2 linked regions of the Styela clava genome follow. The protein of the gene in region 1 interacts with the protein of each later gene in a pairwise test. Links are inferred from orthologs where the notes say so. Each region holds a gene or a part of one and is shown on either strand. Other genes may lie near its edges. The genes, in order: PIN2/TERF1-interacting telomerase inhibitor 1-like; axin interactor, dorsalization-associated protein-like.

Evidence for each region.
Region 2: the proteins of PIN2/TERF1-interacting telomerase inhibitor 1-like (region 1) and axin interactor, dorsalization-associated protein-like interact in binary tests that used the Homo sapiens proteins (3 or more experiments, as listed by UniProt). The link is inferred for Styela clava from reciprocal best matches to the Homo sapiens genes PINX1 and AIDA.

What each region holds. Positions count from the first base shown.
Region 1 is NC_135264.1:9,952,725-9,963,078, forward strand, and holds the start of PIN2/TERF1-interacting telomerase inhibitor 1-like, read left to right. Parts: upstream 1-6,458; 5' UTR 6,459-6,597; coding exon 6,598-6,616; intron 6,617-6,890; coding exon 6,891-7,000; intron 7,001-8,245; coding exon 8,246-8,338; intron 8,339-8,559; coding exon 8,560-8,653; intron 8,654-9,323; coding exon 9,324-9,389; intron 9,390-9,589; coding exon 9,590-9,687; intron 9,688-9,918; coding exon 9,919-10,098; intron 10,099-10,354. Other genes in the region: histone H2B type 2-F-like, read left to right, coding at 4,315-4,674. UniProt on the Homo sapiens protein: Microtubule-binding protein essential for faithful chromosome segregation. Mediates TRF1 and TERT accumulation in nucleolus and enhances TRF1 binding to telomeres. Inhibits telomerase activity. May inhibit cell proliferation and act as tumor suppressor.
Region 2 is NC_135251.1:23,633,308-23,643,366, reverse strand, and holds the start of axin interactor, dorsalization-associated protein-like, read right to left. Parts: upstream 3,933-10,059; 5' UTR 3,780-3,932; coding exon 3,667-3,779; intron 3,512-3,666; coding exon 3,448-3,511; intron 2,651-3,447; coding exon 2,542-2,650; intron 1,935-2,541; coding exon 1,862-1,934; intron 1,639-1,861; coding exon 1,559-1,638; intron 897-1,558; coding exon 771-896; intron 1-770. UniProt on the Homo sapiens protein: Acts as a ventralizing factor during embryogenesis. Inhibits axin-mediated JNK activation by binding axin and disrupting axin homodimerization. This in turn antagonizes a Wnt/beta-catenin-independent dorsalization pathway activated by AXIN/JNK-signaling.

The sequences.
Region 1 (10,354 bases):
AAACAATCCGATTGTGGTGTTATGACATAAACGTGGAAACAACGTTAAATTGCCGACCTTATTATAAACGTTCACTGATAATTACCTTACTGAAATGTTAGTACATTTTGCGATACTTTTTTCACACGGCTTTCGGAACCGCTCGTCAGCAGTTCGCCATCCGTGAATTATAGTGCATTGCGGAAACGGATAAAGAGTATGTATGAAAAAGTAATACGTATGAGGAAACTTTTAATTTATTATGTACACTACCTTGGCCACTTCGTTTAGGTCTGCTTAGAAGACTTCCAATTTAATATTTACACTGCGCTATTTGTTCACGTCTGCTACGATACGATTGGTTAACGGATTCGTGTATATTGTTACGTCATGAACTATAGCAGTTCGCGCAGTATCGACATCAATTCATTCATCTAATTTGCATATTTAATGGGATAAATATCCTAAGTCAACCTGACCCAGCACACTTCGTCTCACATATTACAAACACGAGGAACTACGATGGCACCGACAAAGGGAGCAAAGAGGGTCGCGAAGCAGGTCCCTAACAAGAAGGACACCAGGAAATACCGCAGAAAGCGCAAGGAAAGCTTTGGTATTTACATCTACAAAGTTCTGAAGCAGGTGCACCCAGACACCGGCATCTCCAGGAGAAGCATGAACATCATGAATTCTTTCGTTAACGACTTGTTCGAAAGAATCTCTGGCGAGGCTTCTCGACTTGCACATTACAATAAGAGGCGTACCATCAGCAGTCGCGAGGTACAAACTGCAGTTCGCCTGCTTCTTCCCGGTGAACTTGCAAAACACGCCGTTTCGGAGGGAACCAAGGCGGTGACAAAGTACACCAGCTCCAAGTAAACAGAAACCTGATTATCAATTACAACGGCTCTTTTCAGAGCCACTCACAATCTAACAAGCTGTTAATCCGATTTTTGGAACAACAATGATTGATATTGCCTGCCTATTAATACCAGTAGTCTGCTCTCCAAAAGAAGTAACGTTACACGCCGTATTTACTCGGCTCTCCTTTCGCATCAGATTTTTATTTGGCGTCTTAGAAATTACGGCGTTTACTTCGCCAGACCCAGCAATGGCTTTGAAACTGGGCATTTACGCATGAATTATGCATTTGGATGTCGCGAGAGGTTGAAATAAGTAGCATGGAAACGCTTGATCGCCAATTTCACAGTTTAAAACTAATGGAGATGAGCGCGATATACTTGTTAAAATTCCCTGAGCAGGTGGTACACGAATAGTGCGAGATGATTCCGATTGCCCCACAAGAAGCGTACCCTAACTGTGTATAGCAGTGGTTCCAAACCTTTTATAGCCCGTGGTTCCCTCCAGAGGCTTTTAGCACTCATGGCTTCCATAAATTTTAGGCGTCGCAAGGAGTACACTAGTTTCACACAAAGTATCATATATATTGTACTTTTTTAGACTTTTGATGCGAACCACAATTAAAAAATTAAGGCGAAACATAAATGTCACGATTTCGATAGAATACATCGGATCAGAGGAGCGGCGCGCACGCATAACAATGCCGTTTTTGATCGTAAGACCCGATAAGAGTCGCGCTTAGGGCGTCGCGGAAAATTTTAATACACAGTATCCATAAAGTCTTTGTAACCTCCCTTTCAACGTGACCCGGTAGCACAAGGCGTCACATAGGAAAAACTAACAAATCGAAAACGCATCTCCCAAATCCTTGTCCAAACACAACCAATTGTTGAAAACTTGTAATGAAATTGTAATTCGAAGCATAACATGAAATGCTCAGCAATACACAAACATCACAATAGACGGAAATGAAAGATGGAAGACGGTTTTCTAAAACAAAATAATATGTCTTAGAACACTTATAAAACTAAATAATACCAAATTCAGCAATGATCCAAATATAAATAACATACCGATAATATTTATGACACCGGGTAAGAAAACACATACATCAGTGAACTTCAAATTATGCAACTTAAAGTACTAGCATTCTTACCCAAAAATCATTGCATAATACATTCTGGAAACATCAGTACAATTTCTTCACAGTAACAAATGTACGGCTCAATATCTTAACACCAAGGGCAACAACCCAATAGATCCACTTACTAACTAATTTAGATGTCTAAGTCATCTACAAGATAAACACAATAAACAGCAATAATTAAATCACAATAATACCAACACAAAGAAACTTTAAAAACTTGACTTGGCAGCAAAACAGCAGCAAAGTATGGTGCAATATCCATTAATGGCGGCGAACTCGACTTAACAGCGCCTACACGTGGCAACAATATTATTGCCAAACAATAATACTTGGATCCTGTGGATCGTGACGTAACAGTCTTTACAATTTTAATTTTGTTATGAAGTGAGTCCTGAATATATTTTAACCAGGTTTGTTGCTTTTTTGAACAGTAATTCATATTATATATACGCTTTGGCCAGACCCAGAGAAGTTATGCGCTAAGTTTCTCTTCCTAGTTGTTTTCATGTCATACTGGTAAGAACTGCTGTTTTAAGTCTCGCGTGGATTGATATTTGCTGACACGCGATTTTACACTAGAGATGTATCGGCCAATTTTTCGGTAGTGCATCGGTATCGGCTACATTTAGACCGATATTTCCGATATATTTAGCTTCTCAATAATATGATCCAGAATGTTTTAAAAAATAGGTTAAAATACTAATCTTGAAATTATTTTTTGCTTGGATAGGTCGTGAACTATGAGCCATGCACGTCCCCACCCCGGCTAGTAGAAACGGGAATCGGATTTTGACCTGTTTTTAGCCATTTATTAGCAAAACTGGCTCAATCAATTTTAGTAATTTCACTGCCAAATTTTTATATCAAAATTTTTAATATTACATGGTAATTATGAAAAAATATATCGATCGAATATTAGTGCATGCTCCAATATTTAAAATATAAAATATGACGTTATATTGGCACAAAATCCTTCCTGCGCATGTAACTCAATGTATCAGTTTCATACGGTAAGTAGGCTGAACATTTATTTGTTTTACCACCAACATTAGCCAAATTCTATTAGTTTTCTAATAAATCTATTTGAACACTGAGATTACTAGCGCCAGTGCATCTGAATCAATTAACGCATTTGGATCTCAAACATCTACTTCTTAATACTACTTAATGTGTGTGATATGTATATAAATATATATATTACTCTTTTTTGATCCGAAATAATGTGCACTATTAATAAGGCTGAAAGGTAAAAATTACACTTGAGGTAGCCTAATAGTTACATAATATCGGAATATCGGTCGTTTTTGAATATCGGCGTATCAGTATCGGCCTTTTTAGCTGGTATCGGATCGGTATCGGCGACAAAAGTGGTCTCGGTACATCTCTATTCTACACTATAATTTTTTTAAGTCGGTTATTTTTTATAACTTATAGCCAGTGGTGGGATTCAAATTTTTTGTCAGCCGGTTCCATCACAAAAATCATATTTTTCGGCCGGTTCTGTTACATGTTTTTTTAAATAATGCTAACCGGTATGCTGATCTCATAAAATTCCGTGAGACGGTTCTATAGAAACGGTGCGAACCGGCTGAATCCCACCACTGCTTATAGCCCAACTGATACTTGAACCTCGAACTGTAATTCCTAGAGTCAATATTATTATTTACAGTTTTTCAAACAAAAGTGTAGAACATGAAAACTTTAGATTATATCATAATGGTTGACTGGCTTAGTTTCGGATTTATTTTAAAATTTAAATAAGCAGCCAAGGGTTCTGGATTAAGTTGGTGCGATGGTCTTAGTTCATTAAAGTTATATGCGAGTTGTACGCATATTTTAGATGTGCTCGTCTGCAGGCTGAACAATTCTAACCAAAACTGGAAACATAACGATGCTAATTGATAAAATTTAACTTATTAGTTATGAAGTTTCTAATGTACAACAGCCCAAACGATATCTTCGTGTATTTTTCATTGTTATGATATTTGATCCTTTATAGTTTACATGCGTTTTTTGTGTTTGTAAGTGAACTCGATGCGAGGTTTGGCTTGACAACTAGAAATCTCTATATTTTATCTTATGTGTAACAAATAGAGTGATCGAAATAATCTATGTCTCGCGAACCTGAAAAAAATATTTATCAAGAACAACATTCAAGGTAGATGTGCGTGGGCGAAGACTACTATCGGCCGCGTAAACCACCCGGGGAAAAGTTCAGCAAATCTTCAGAATACCCCTAATTTGCATACCAAAGCCTATAAATAAGGCATGTCTCCGATTACCGTCATACTTCGTTTTTGATTATACAAACACGTATAGCGGAAATGGCCCCCACAAAAGGAGCAAAGAAGGTTGTGAAACAAGTCAATGCCAAAAAGGATGCCAGGAAAGCTCGAAGGAAGCGCAAAGAAAGCTTCGGCATTTACATCTACAAAGTTCTGAAGCAGGTTCACCCAGACACCGGCATCTCCAGGAGAAGCATGAACATCATGAATTCTTTCGTAAACGACCTGTTCGAAAGAATCTGTGGCGAGGCCTCTCGACTTGCGCATTACAACAAAAGGCGTACCATCAGCAGTCGCGAAGTGCAAACCGCAGTTCGCTTGCTTCTTCCCGGTGAACTTGCAAAACACGCAGTTTCTGAGGGAACCAAGGCCGTGACAAAGTACACCAGCTCCAAATAAGCTGTTATAAGTTTTGCCAATCACAACGGCTCTTTTTAGAGCCACCCAAAACTTAACGAGATGTTTCCATTGTAAGCGGATCCGCAAAAATAAATATCAAGACACCTATGCCAGGACGGTTAGCGGATGTATCACTTTAACCATTTATACCTACTAGCGATGGAAATTCCAATGCCTCTTTATTATCATTGTCAGTACTCAGTATTACTTTTATCGTTGCTATTAGGATTGGGCATTTCTAATCGTCGCCATCTTGTTTTTTTCCGTCAAAGGTAGAGGTGAATCCTTCTCAATTTTTTTGCGATGCCATGTCCCGTCAGAACGTTTTGATCGTCGTTTTTTTTTCTTTCAATTTATCCTCCGGTCGGTTCGGAACACGCCCAGACTTGCATCTCGTGCATTTTTAAAGTGCAATTCGGACATGCCCCCCGCCTCCTAGCGAGTTACCATGTTTCCCCGAAAATAAACCCTCCTAGAGAGAGACCTAGTCGATGGCGCGATTTTTTTTTCGACCTAGTCCTCAACAAGAATCTTCCCTACACGTTGATTATCTAAAACGTGTAATTTATAGGTAAATGAATATTGGTTTTCAATTGTATATTGGGAAATCTCGTAATTCTCTACTTTGTGATTTTGTTTTTGATAAAAAATAAGCTCTAGTGTTATATTTCGAAAGAAAATTGTAATAAGACCCTATCTTATTTTCGGGGAAACACGGGGGATGAAACATGTTTCTCTTTGTTTATGACAACTCAGCGAACTGACTTACAGAGTTGGATCAGTTGTAATTGATGTAATTAATTACAGTTTTTCATGTAATTGTAATGTAATGGAGGCATTTTCATTCTGTGTAATTGTAACTGTAATTTGCTCAAATTTCGGCTCAATTACACTTTCAAATAGACTAAATCTTGGTATTTTAAGAAAAGATGAACATCAAACAAACTCTTCCGAAATCTGTGTTGAACCATTTCCTGCACCAATGTCAGTTTTTTTTTAAATCTTTGAGCAGCACTGAGGCATGCTGTAATCACTGCAAAAAGAAAGTTAAGTTCTCAACCAAAGCTCGTCAAACTTGATCACGCACTTGAAGAGATGTTATCCCCATCTATATCCTAAATATATGAATTTCAAAAGAAAACACCAGAAAAACACGATGAAGGCTAAGGTTGATCATAGCCAACCACCTAACAAGTCATTTTTTTAGACTACTTCTTCTCAGCGATGGCAGAAGATTTAAAAAGAAAAGACCAAGGAAATCAAGTGAAGTAGATAGATATTTGGGAGAAAAAAATCTGCAATTTGATGAAGACTCATTAATGTATTGGAAAATAAATAAGAAGAATTTCCCACGCTTGCTTCTTTAGCCAAGAATTATTTGGGACTAACAGCAACAGCAGCCTCGTCAGTACGAGTTTTTTTTAACTTTTATACGGCAAGAAGAAATTTATTGGGGTCAGAAACTTTTTGCTGTCTAATCTTCATCAAGCGCAATCAGACAGTTTTTGAGCAAGTGAAAATGTGAATACGAACCAAAATGTTATAATTGTAAATGTAATTTGATATTTTTTGCACAGAGGAATTGTAATGTAATTGAAACATTTAAGGGAGTAAATAATTGTAATTGAACTGAATTAATGTAATTGTTCCAACTCTGCTGACTTAATGATCGTTTTTATGATTTCCACTAATTTATTGTGTCTGAAGGCATCATCATAATAATAATAAAAGTCACATAATCGAACAAGACCATCAGATTTCAAATATGCTAGGTAACCGGAAAACGACTCGAACCACATGTGAAGCGCTGCACAGTCAATGACCACATGCTGGCAAGCGCGGACGTCCACGAAATAGTCCGTTTTACCTAGTTTTCGGCGTTGTTGATTGTAACAAGCGAAAGGACTGACAGGGATTCACAACATGTCAATGCTTGCAGAAAGTAAGTAGATTTTTGCTATTCAGCGAAAATTTCATGTGATGTTCATTTCTAGCGTTGGCTACAAACAAACACTGAAACAACGGCGTACCGGGTACCAGCATTTGACCTAGTTAAATATACTTAATTAAGTCAGTGCCGTAGGTACAGGTACAGTAAGGATTTACCTTGGAGGAGAACCAGTTTTTGAAAATGAAATGCAGCATTTGTTTGATTTGTGTATTGTAGTCTTGGCTAGTTGAACTTCTAAACGTTCTAACATATTTTTATATTTCAGGTCGAGATAAGAAAAAGTGGTCAATAGACCCAAATGGCACAAACTGGTCAAAAGACGAAAACAAATTTGGTGTGAAAATGCTTGAAAGAATGGGTTGGACCAAAGGCAAGGTACGGTACCGTATGGTCACAGTCAACTGCTTATCTTTCTTTCTGCAATTTCATGATTTTTGTGTATACAAATTTAATAATTTTTTTGACTTCAACCAGCACTACAGCACTAGAATATGCCATATCGTTACCGGTACCGTACTATAGGTACAGTACTATCGTATTGACTCAGTGATAATGCCACCATAAATAGATAATTGGTTTTGAAGGTGTATTTTGTGTAAAGTGATGGATAGCCGTCGATAGTAAATACCAGTGCTAGAATTCGATGAGACCTTTATTGAGTGAATCAAATCAACAATTTTCCTTTTACTCCATTACCATTATCTAACTTCATTGGTTCAACTTTTAATAGTTTTTTGTGTATTATTGCAAAAATGATGAAAATGCAAACAGCAGTATTAGTACGGTCTTACTACTTCTGTACTTACTGAATACAGCGCGAAACACCGCAAAGAGCGCGAAACAGCGCAAAACAAAGGAAAACAGTGTGGAAACCGCGCAAAACAGCGCGAAATAGAGGGAAACAGTGTGAAGCAGAAAAAAATTTTGCAATGAGTTCGGGGCACCTTGTTTTGAGTTGGAGTACCACGGCAGCAAATTAAAATCACAAACCAACGTATGTAGTCAGTAATGCTGTAATGGCAGGTATGCCCCTGCTGGTGACACATTTTGGGTACCATAATTTAGAACATTTTCCATATGGATATGGTTGGCTTTAGGGTTAGGGTTAGGTAAAAGGGGACCTCCAGAAGTATGTGCACCAAGATGGCGCACAACCTGAAATTGTATGTGTGTGTGTGTGTGTGTAGCGGATTCTGGTTGTGCGACATATTGCACATACTTCTGGAGCACCAAAAAGGTAGATAAAATTTCGCATGATGACCTATAATCCGGTACATAACCTTGTAAATATGCCGGAAATAGCGCCATAAAACCATGGCGAGAGGCGCCGTGGTTCTTTCGTGGCAGGAGGTGGTAATGACTGCGTCTCCTTTTTTGCGCTGTTTCCCTCTGTTTTGCGCTGGTTTCCTTCTGTTTTGCGCTGGTTTCCTTCTGTTTCGCGCTGGTTTCCTCTGTTTTGCGCTGCTTCGCGCTATTTTGCGCTGTTTTGCGCTCTTTGCGGTGTTTCGCGCTGTATTCAGTAAGTAGTAAGACCCGTATTAGTATCATCATAGAATGATATAATTCTGCAATCTTCTGTAATGAATAGCATTTTCTTTACTTTGCTCCCAAATATTTCAGGGACTGGGAGCGAATGAAGATGGGAGAATCGCACACATTAAAATTAAACATAAAAATGATAATCGTGGAGTTGGATGTTCGATAAAGCAAGAAGTGGGTTCACAATTTCATTCATTTTATAGTTAAAATTAGAGTAGTTAGTCACTGCGGAGGGTGCCAGTCCCAGGATGAAGGTTTAGGTAACTTATATTCAGACTAGTAGATCACCAAATCACATGTTTATATCTTTCTCCGGAAAGCTAATACAATAATTGAACCCCTATAATGTTTAATAGTTATATTTTGAATATTTCATTTGAATTCCTATTTGACAGCAAAATTGGGTTGCTCATCAGGATGACTTTGCAGATTTACTAGCACAATTGAACAATCATCACTCCGATCAAACTGACGTGAAAAACATGAATGGTATATTCGAGAACTTAATTATTTATTCATATTTTTGAGATTATGTACTATAAATAACAATCACTTTGCCTCAATACTTGTATGGCAATTTGAAGATGGGATAAAAAAAATCAGAAAAAAATGAATGTATTGCAGTCTTGCTTCATGACCAACTATAAATTTGATATCATTTATGAGTTTTGTTTACACCATTTTGTTGTATTCAAAAATCTATGTTGATCAAACAAGATCACTTTTCACAATAACACTTCGAAATCTTCCATTTTCGCATAAAATTGAAGTATATTCGTATATCATGATATGTTACAAAACAGGTCATTTTTATTATTAAAAATTTCTATTTCAAACATTTTCTATGCAACTTGTACTAATGTGCCTTCCTATTAAAACAATGTGATCAAGTTAACCAGTAATTTGTTTGCTGTAATATGAAGGCAGAAAAAAATTTGCAAAACATCCAAGGTCGCATGCCACACAATGCATTGCTACCCATTTCACCTTTGCTACAAGTTTTAAAATTAACTTTGCTAGCCAAAATAGTGATAGAGGTAATCTATAAAGTACTAGAATAAGTTAGATTTTCTTATTTTTGTCAAGAAGAATAGAAGCTGATAAGATCGTTATATTATATCGTCCCTATATATATACATCATTTTTGTTTATTCCACAGGTGTCTCCAGCCTTGAAAAGAAATCTAAATCACAAAAGAGAGTACATTATCACAAATTTGCAAGAGGTATGGTAAAAATAGAGAAGAATAATATATCAGCTAATTTTCAAGTGTCATAAACGTGCCTTTTGCCCCAAAACAAGGCCCTGATATCTCGGGATATTTAAGTAGCTACTATTATTTGAAAGGAAATTAATCTTCCCAGTTCGGCATAGACTATCCATTTTATCACACCATTTTCACACTGGATTGTTGTTATTTTCTAGGTAAAGACCTTTCCAATTACAAAGAGACTGATCTTGCAGCAATATTTGGAAAAACAGCATCCAAGAGTGAGCCTGTTACACCTATCAATTTGTCAGAGGTGATTATTTTTTAAACATTGGGGTTGGGCCATTGATATGTTTCTTGGCTTTTTTAATTCAGAGTAAGTGTACTATAATGGATAAAAACCTAAAAAATTTTCGATATTTATATCTGAAAGAAAATTCTCTTGTATCAAATTCGCTTCAAACATAAAAATATTATCAATTTTGGAAACACTGATTTTTTGTGTTGTTGCTGATCGCGAAATCTTTATTTCTGATTCATGTAGGATGAAATATCTGATGCAGACAGCACTTCATCCTGCCCAGAAAGCAAGAAAAAGAAGAAATCAAAAAAAAAGAAAACTACTGAAAAAGAATCCCCAAAAAATAATGCAACCAATCATGTAACTTCTACAATAAGTGTGCAAGAATATTTTGCACTAAGAATGGCTGCAATTAAAAAGAAGGTAACGTAGTAAAAACAATTCATTAGGTGGTGGGCACAGGGGCGGACACTTTCCATAATTTTGGGGGGGCGAAATTGGATCGCCTACCGAAAAACACCGCGCCGTGTATCGTCACGTAACAGTAACCTGTCGATGTCATTCTCTAAGTATTAGCATGTCATTTTGCTACTCATATATCGATTACCTAGGCTGCTTTGCTCGGACACGGAACTTGCGCGTCACTGAACCAATTTCTTGAATTCCGCGAGAATTAGCC
Region 2 (10,059 bases), on another chromosome or scaffold:
CCAGAACAAACATTTTGAAATCATTCAACAGTTTTCAATAATTGTCAAATTCTAATATAGTATCAATAATTCTTCAATATGGATCGGTTTTCACCAGTTTTTCGGTGCGTAAAAAATATCTTCTCTCAGTAATTGATGAACCAACTAATTTCAAAATTGAAATTGAACAGTGACTGAAGATTGAAGTAGAGGTCTAAAAACTTTTATTTTCTTTCCGCATACTCAAATAATATGTGAGATAATCATCTGTAAGAGGATTACTGGACTAATTGCTGACTTGAAGATCTACATGTAACCACTTGCATCGTGGCCCCCTTCCGGGGCTTTTAGCACTCATGACACCCCTGTTTATCATTCCAGTGATATTTCTAGTGTGATTTTGATTGGTAGATTCTAAATTCCATCATGTTCGAACAATCAATGCTCAACGAAGTGAAAACACTCTGTGAAATAACCTTATTAAGCAAAGAAACTAGAAAAAACGGGGAGTTTTCTTGTAAAGGGAAAAGTAAAATCAGCTTGTGGCCCTCCTCCAACTGCCCTGTGGCCCCCGGTCGAGAACCGCTGGCTCAGAGCTTCCCCCAGCAATAATGCATCTAAAATTTAGTCCTGCTTTTTACTTGCAGTAAAAAAAATTCAGGATTAGGTGAGCATGTTAATCCAATGTAGAATGAATACTTTTCCATAATTGGAGAATTCAATTGAAATTTGGAATATTTTATGATTCACTTATATATTTATAAATGGAACAGAATATTACTAGTCATCACCTTTACAAGATACGACAAAGAAGGGATCGATATGACTTGAAGCATCTTTCAAACCAATTTTTTCAATCCGAACCGTCACTAGTGTTTCATTTTGATCAGCAATTAATCTTGGAAGAAGTGAATTGACTGGAAAACAAATTTGAGCAAATTCAATGGAGATGTAAGAAAGTTATTCCAGACATTTTTGCATATTGAAATTGCATACATTGTAATGTTCAAAAGTAGACTTTAAACTTCAGTATAGAAGACCAATAACCATGGATCAATGTTAACATAGTGTCTTCAAACTTTATAACATTTAGAATTTCATGAAATAGGGGGCTATAATATATTGAATACCTTATATTTAAAAATATTATGAAAAATGAATGCTGTTCGAGCTGGTAGCACTTCTAGTCATAGATTGGAGCAATAAGTATTTCAACAAAAAATTGGAGAAGTTTAAACAACAAAATTATTCGTTAGCTTTTTCTTTCAAAACCTTGTTTTCAAGTTTTGCCCTAATGATTTAAAGCCTTCACAATATTGGAATAGTCTCATGGAGTTTACTTTATGCCTAACATGATTATCACCCATAATAAAATTGAAAAGAAATTCCATTACAACTAATATCAAACATATGGTGAGCCTCATAGTGGAACAATGCAAAATTTAAAAAAAAATCCAAATGTATTTTTATATTATTACATAAACATTACAATAAAACAGTACAATACAACAAGTGAGATGATTATATCATTGTCATTTCAATAAAATGGTAAAAAGCACAAAAAATAACCAATATTCACATGAGGATGTTGCGAGTTGCGTTACTGATTCTTCTTCTGGATTTGTTGACACAGGTTCAGGTGATGGTGTGGTTACTAATCTGAACATTCATAAAAGATTTGACTTATTTCACGAGTGATTTTCACTAATATTTTAGACTTTATTTTCTATAATCCTATCAGAGTTTCATTTTTAAGAAACTCTGAGATTTCACAAAATTAGTTTTTGAGTTTGCGAAATATTACCAATACATAACATTGCACTGTTAATTCAAATTTTATATAATGTATCGGTATATAATTATTACAATATGATTCACTCACCTTAGACCTTTCATCTGACGATTTATTTCCTCTGGTATTTCTGGTTTCTTACTCTTCAGCAAATTTTTCATTACTAAAGATAAGATAAAGAGTAATAAAATCAGCATTCGTTCATTGTTCAGCTCTCATCAATGGTAGGTCACACCTACACAGGTTGTCAGCACTCTATTGATCAGGGTTTTTTCTAACAGGGCCTTCAGCTCTCTAGGATGGCATTGAGTGATTCTCTGGGGGCAAAAGCCTTTTCTTCATTTCAGCCTTCAATTTCTGAAGAGTCTCTAAAAAGGGGCCATGATCATGAAAGTTTGAGAACTTCTACACAAGATAGATGACCATTTTTCATCATTTAGAGTAACTAAAATAGTCTAAAACCATTCATCTGATAGAATCAATGCATATTGATGACAAAAACCAACTATGCCATGTGTAACCTGATAGCACTGGAACATAAAATATTTATGAGAATAGCTACATGATAATCAAAATCAACAAAGCAGGTAACAAATGACATGATTCAATGTATTACTATCACATAGGGTAATATGTAATTATCAATGGCCCATTTCATGATATAAAAATGTCATTGCCTACAGTTCAGAAGAATATTTTTCATCAACAACATATTTTGATCATAATTTATCTAGAATAATCAGGGGCAGACAATAATGACTACTACAAACCTTCTAACAATTTCTTAATTTCTGCTAAATCAATATCTGGAGGTGATTTCATCATTTGCAATGATTTTGCTCGAATTTCCAAGCATGAAGCAACTTTTCTTATTATTTTCTGTAAAACCAAACGTAATTATTACTTATGAGTTGGTGAACAAATTGTGTTTTATGAACTTCTAATAAATTAAATAAAGAAATGATAAACCAATAAAAAATGCTGTATAATACCCACTACATTGCCATATTGAATTATGATTACATATGTGTTGTGATAGGCATTCATGTCTGTGTAATTGAATCAATATTTTAAACTTCCCAAAGTCGAAAGTCGAAAACAAAATTTTTCGAAGTCAATAAATCAAACTTTGGATGGAGATAATCAGGAACTCAAAATGTACCAAGTTGACAGAGCATCCCCAATAGGCAATTACGAAATATTTGTTTTTTCGGTAAAAAAGTGAGTCATAATTTCCTTTATCCTGAAGTTGGACCTTTTTTATTGAGTGTCAGGGATTTTTTAAATGGCTCAATTCAAGAGTAAGGAGTTGTTATTACCTATAGTATTTATCAAAAAGTCATGCATGCTGCATGCTTTGTTATGTACGAGTGTAAACTTAATCAGACTGAACCTAATATATTGGTTATTTATTGAGTAACGTTTCCGCTTATAATCCAGATAATCAAACAGTATATTTACAAATACAACAGACATCTCCTGATTTTTGAGTGCCCCTGGTAGAAGTGATAGTTCAGTATATCACTTGCCATTGCAAGCATAGAATTTTCTCCTTTGGTTGATCGTTTTAACTATCGATTTTAACACAAAGTTCTAACTTTAGCAAGCCTTGTGTGTTTTTTGCTATGTGATTCTTATCAAAGATAAATATATATTTATGGGGAATAATAGCTTACAGATTTATCTTCATCAAATGTTTTTTGATCAACTGCTGTTGCAGCTTTCATCATTCGTGCCAATCTGCAAAGTAGAACAATTATCAAATAAAAATTGTATTGAAAATATGAATTGAAAATCATTTATCCAATGTTATTACTCACTAGAAAGAGTCCACAATCAGACTATGAAAACAAAACTGGACATTTTACTTCAATTTTTCCAACTCATTAACCTACCTTGAATATTCATCCGCTGCTTCCACTAGTTGTCCCCAGGAATCAAAATCTGTTGCTTGTTGAAATTTTTGATTCCAAGTGCCAACCAGTTTTTCAATTTCAGATTTTGACATTATGAAAAAAATAGGCTTATTTCAAATATCGGTAATTGAAATCCGAAATAATGGAACCCTGATATACTATACTGATTTTCAGACAAGCAGAGTCTGTTGTAAAACTGATCTATAAAATTAGTCTAAATAAGTGAAGCCAAATTTAGCCAAAGAGAAATATTTTAGATGAAAGAAATAAAATGTCATCTAAACTTGGTCATTATTCGGTACGGTATCTTGCGGGAAGATGGGAAATTACATAACACTGTTATATGCAATTCTCTCATATTTTTCACCAAAAATATTTCAAACGAGTTAATCAATCAATTTTATTTTGGTCACTCTGAAAGAAACGAAACAACAACAAACGGACAAACAAAATGCAGAGGAACTGGAGGACGGGCATAACCACATCAAACATATTTCAAACAAGTTAATCATTTTATAGGCACATATGAATCGAATTTGTATGATTAAAATATGAAGAACACATATATTTTCATAATGCTGCTAAGCCTCTCAAGGAATAATCGAGTGAACAGCCCTTTATCGCAATAATTATAACTAACAGGCGCGGCGGTGTGGCTCAACGGGCTAAGCGTTAGGAATACGCTCGCCACCGCACCTCTAACTACTCTGCGTGGGTTCGCAGGTTCGAATCCCATGCAGGGATGGTTATGTGCGAGAGGATTGCTGGACTCCTCGCCGTCGTTGGGTGGTTCACCTAACCGCTGGTCGGTTACGGCTTCCTCCACCACCAAGTCCATGCTTCCGAAAACAAACAATACAGTAAATCTAATCCCATACCCGACTTGGAATGGTAACCGGACGAGAGGCCGTGGTTCGCCATATGGATAAGCCGTCTTATCGGCTTTCCTCTCCCCCGGGATAAATATGTAAATCCTATCCTATCCTCCTATCCTAACTGGCAATTAGCATTCGGCATTACTGCATTACGAAATCGCGTCAACTACACTGCAAAAATTGAAAGGGGATTCCCCCTTTTAGCAGTCCGTGACGTCATAACGAATGGATTTCGTTATTCATTCGTAACGACTAACGACTCATCAGCATTTCACAATTTAACCATTACATGTATCACGGTAAACCAACGACTAACATACCAGAGTAAACTGATTGTCGGCGATGTTCTGACTTTTGTCAAATGAAACGTTACAAAATAAAATTTGTGAAAGTGTGACGCCAGATATATTATAACCACTCTATATGGCCGTTTTGATTCTTGCTACAATACCCTTGCATACGAATCGACAAACAACTATTTTTTTTTTCGTGGCCCATTTTTGTTGCCCAAAAACTTTTTATTGCAAGGAGAAAACAACAAGAAAATCAAGATCTGTCTGCTAAAATGGACTCTCAAACGTTCATAATTAGTATGGGAATTACCTTCCAGTAGTAGAGAACAGCATCGTCATTGATTGCTGCTACAATCAAAAGTAACTATTGTGACATAAATGAAACTAGCAATTTCTAATAGTTCTGTGGCCAACCTCTTTGGCCCAACAGTGGGCCATGGCAGTTAAGCTTAAACTGAAATTCGCCAAACATGCATAATTTAGAGTTTTATTTGACCTTTTTTAGTTACATTCCCAAATCTCATCATTCGACAGTTTGGATGAATGTCAGTGCAGCTGCGGCATTTCGTAAACGAGCCACAACAAAGTCGAAATAGAACATTTCGGAATCCGCTATCAATAAAATGATAATTTGAAGTTGCAGGTCGTAACGTTTGCATCTACAAGTATGAAATTCAGATGTCTCGCAAAGTGAGTCACACAACCACTTGATCAAATGTGTATATTATTTCTATAGCATTTGTGTGTCTGGGAGATAAATATGAAATCCTCATCTATTTCGATTTGTCATCCCATTCGTACTCCAGTTGGCGATGAATTTCGCATACTGAACTGAGCTGTTTTTGTTTTATATTCAAGATAGTTCTTATTGGACCGAGTAGTACCAAATTGAATATAATAGTTACAGAAGGATAGCAAAGGCACGAAAATCGATCGTCGCTACTAACATCCATCAGCCTAATATCAGTAACTCCCAATTTGGTTTCCGAAATGCACATTCTACAGAGCTTGCTGTAGTCAAACTAAAAGAATCAATATTGAATAATTTATCAGATAATAAAGTAACTTGTGCTATTTTCCTAGATTTGGCAAAGGCATTCGATACGGTTGACCACACTATTTTATTATACAAATTGTCCCATTATGGCATACGTGGATTGCCACTTAATCTAATTCGATCTTATTTAACGAAGCGTCAACAATTCATTGAATCGAATGGTTACAAATCTTCCCTTCAATATGTATCTTGTGGAGTCCCATAAGGTAGCACTCTTGGTTCCCTACTATTTTTAGTCTACATCAATGACCTTCCTACTACCAGTGCGTTCGATACCACACTATTCGCTGATGATACAGCTCTGCTTGACTCTGCCACAAATATTGTAGATCTCCAACATGCAATGAATTTGAAAATAAAGCAAATTGACCATTGGTTGAAACTAAATAAATTGTCGCTTAACTATTCGAAAACAAAATTCATGGTTTTTGGGTCTGGGAAAAATATAAGGTTTGAAAACTTTAAATTAGAAGTTGGCACAATTAGCTTGGAAAGAACAAGTACTATAAAATATTTGGGAATAGTTCTGGATGAAAAACTTAATTGGAAAAATCACATAGATTACCTTTCGAAAAAACTTTCTCAATCACTTGGAATGCTTTATAAATTAAGGAGATTTGTAAATCTTGAAACCCTTAAAATAGTTTATAATAGCCTGGCCTTTTCACATCTTCGATATGGTATATTATGTTGGGGTAACGCGACAAAAACTGCTTTAAGACCCCTCGCCGTTTTACAAAATAAGATGATTAGATGTATGATGTACCGAGAGTCATCTAGACAAATACGTATAAATAATGCAAAACTGTATCATCATTGTGAATTTCTTCAATTGAAAGAACTCTACATAAGTGAAGTGGGAAAATTTATGTATCGTTATGAAAATGTGCTGCTGCCAGAGTATTTTCAAAACTTTTTTGTCAAAATTTCAAATATCCATCCGTATGAGACCAGGAGTACATCAAATAAATTGTATTTCACCCCGCGATATCAATCTTCATGCATGAAGAAATCGCTCAAGCTGGAAGGTATTAATGTATGGCAAAGTATTCCACAGAGTATGAAACAGTGTTCCCCACAATTATTTGATCGCAAACTAAAACAACATTTATTAGCGGATTATAATGTGATGCAGTGACGTTCAAATCTCAGTGTATGCTATCAGATTCATAAAATGGATAGGAAATCACCATTTTATAGATGTATGTCTCTGTGAAAATTATTGAAGATACTATTATATATAGTCTGAAGTGTTCATATGTACTATATGTCTATATAGCTTTGGAAATATGGTATTTTAAATTTTTCACCCATTCATAGAAACTGCCTCATTTCCTCATTTTCACTATTTGATTTTTGTCGAACATAAAGTAAAATTAAATTTGAGGAAATTATAATTAGGCTTACGCCCTTCTTAATTTTTCACTTCTTTTCGCATTTTATTTACTATTAAAAAAAAGTATAACCTGCATAATCATGCGATGTTCTTTTTTCTTGTAATTTTCAATCTTTGATTGATACCACCCTATTTGCAAATTAAAACAGCATTTCAGCGGATCATAATATGATGCAATATCATGCAAATCTCAGTGTATGCTATCAGATTTATAAAATGGATAGGAATTCACAATCTTATATATGGATTCTTCATATGTCTTTGTGAAAATTTTTGAAGATACTATTATATATAGTCTGCAGTAATAATTATATGTACTATATAGCTTGGGAAGTATGATATTTTTAATTTTTCACCTATTCATAGAAATTGCCTCATTCTCACGATTTGATTCTTGTCTATCATAAAGTATAATTTTTGTAATTAGCCCGACGCCCTTCTTATTCTTTCTCGCATTTTTAATTACTATTGAAAACATGATCTGCGTAATCATGTGATGTTCTTGTTCCTTGTAATTTTTATTTCTATTCAAATACTTTCTCGGGGAATTGATTTCTGGGGCCTCTTAACCGGGCTTAAAACTCAAAAATTTATATTTCTTCTATTGTAATTATGATGCCTGCTTTAGAGTGTCCTGTCTTGGTAGAATCTTACCTTAGGGGTCGGTCGACCTTGTTAGTCTTGCCCGTCCCCTTCCGTATACATTTTTATGCGTATTGTTATTTGCTCATGCCTATTGTATTATGTACTTGTATCGGAAATAAATCATTATCTATCTATCTAATAATATTATCCAGATTTTATTTTGTGAACCTTTGCTCATATGTCTAGCATGGATTCTCGTTATGAGGCAACAAATTATTACAAAAAAAGATGAACTGCTCACGCACGTCGTAAACATTCTTTTTTTATTTCATAATAAAAACATTACATTTATATAGACACAATAATGCATAAATATCATTGCACTTAAACATTCTTATCACACCAAACTGAAATGCGCCCGCGGGATCTATCCTTCTCGAGGACGCGGATTGCATTGATTATTATTAGGCAGAGTTAGTATTAGGCGTTGTTGTAACATCACGCCTCAAGTTTGGTTCAAGCAATGGTCTTCTTTTCTGGGTATTACATTTTTATCATTTTATCACGATCAAGTTCTCACTCCCGCCATCGCAGTGTTTGTTTACTACGTACGACACGAACACGCTCAGCGCCCGCGGGTGAAGCGCATTGCATCATTGTTTTGATCATTGTGCAATGTCAGCTGACGTGACTGAGTTCATGTCCTGGGACCAATTACTGCCGGCCTTGCTTTTTATTGGCCAATCAAAATGGCTACCCTGGCTCACGTGAGATGGCGTATCATGAAATCACCGCCTCTTTGTTGATCAAAACAAACCCGGTCTTTGTTATGAGACAGCGTTGCGCCGGCCGGGACGTGGAAACACGGGAAACCAGTCAAGTTCGGGCAGCTGGTTAATTAATAAGAAAAAATGGATTAACGATGTAGGATTAGTACAGTATTATCAAATTTTTATATCAGTGCGGTGTTAATATGATTAGTTTTGAGTTCCTGTTTTTTTGAATTGTGTGTTACCGTATTCTGTTATTAGACCTGTAGACGTATTGCTGTATTGTATTGACAGTTTGATGAGTAACGACCGAACGAGACCGTCTAATTCTGTAATTGCTATCTCATGTCGCAACAACCAATGTGTACCGGTACGGTACGTTTACGAACGGTACGGTATATCAGTATATTTCTGTGTTTTGCTCAGCACTTTACTGCTTTAGCAGTTCAGGTGATGCCATATACCAGTACCTGGTATACTGAAATATCTGTCTGCCGGTAGCCATAGACAGCATTAACCTTTTGAAAATGATACAGACATCTATTTTGTAATGCAGTACCGTAATGTTACGGTCTGAGGTCTGACGGTAAATTACAAAATTATACTGACAGAAGGCTGGTAGAGGAAAAGGAAAAATTATTGGTGATGGTTAATTTTATTTGAATATTTATTGAATATGTGAGTTTCAAGATACCAATAATCGAATATTTAATTTTCGATCCAATATTTAGATATCAATGCAATGAAGATATGGGCTATGTCAAATAAAACCGTACTGTACCTAATACGTGAGACATTTCATGACAAAATTTATTTTTTATTTAATGTGATACAATTAAATACCGTACCAATATACAGCAGTACTACATCATCAACTTGAAATTTTTTTAATTTTCAAATCTTTTGCCAAACCTTGCGACATTATAGAAAATAGATATGATTATTATAAATATTTCAGTTTTACCAGTAGGGCACAGTTTACAAATTCCAGAAATGTCCCGTCATTTGGTTCAATTAAACAAACACTGCATGTGTCTCAAACGTTTTTTGCTCTAAAAACTCTCGAATGCCATGGTAAAAAAATTTTTTTTGGAAAATTGGATTATTTTTTCCTGAGGAATTCAATGATGTCGTTTTTAGATTGTGCTTCTTTTCAGTTTATTGCGCAACTTCATTTTGCTGTATTTTTACCGATATTGTGGATTGAGGGACAACAATGTCCAGACGTCCCTGAAAGGAGGGGTGTCTGTTCTATGGCAAAATGAGATTCTCTGAAACGAGGCAATGTCGCTGGATCTGTAAAGTGTGCCGTACTGTATACAGGAACTGATTATTGTTCAAAGGATATGTTCCTATTCTTAGATTAAAAACCATCTATTTATACAACCTAGAAAAA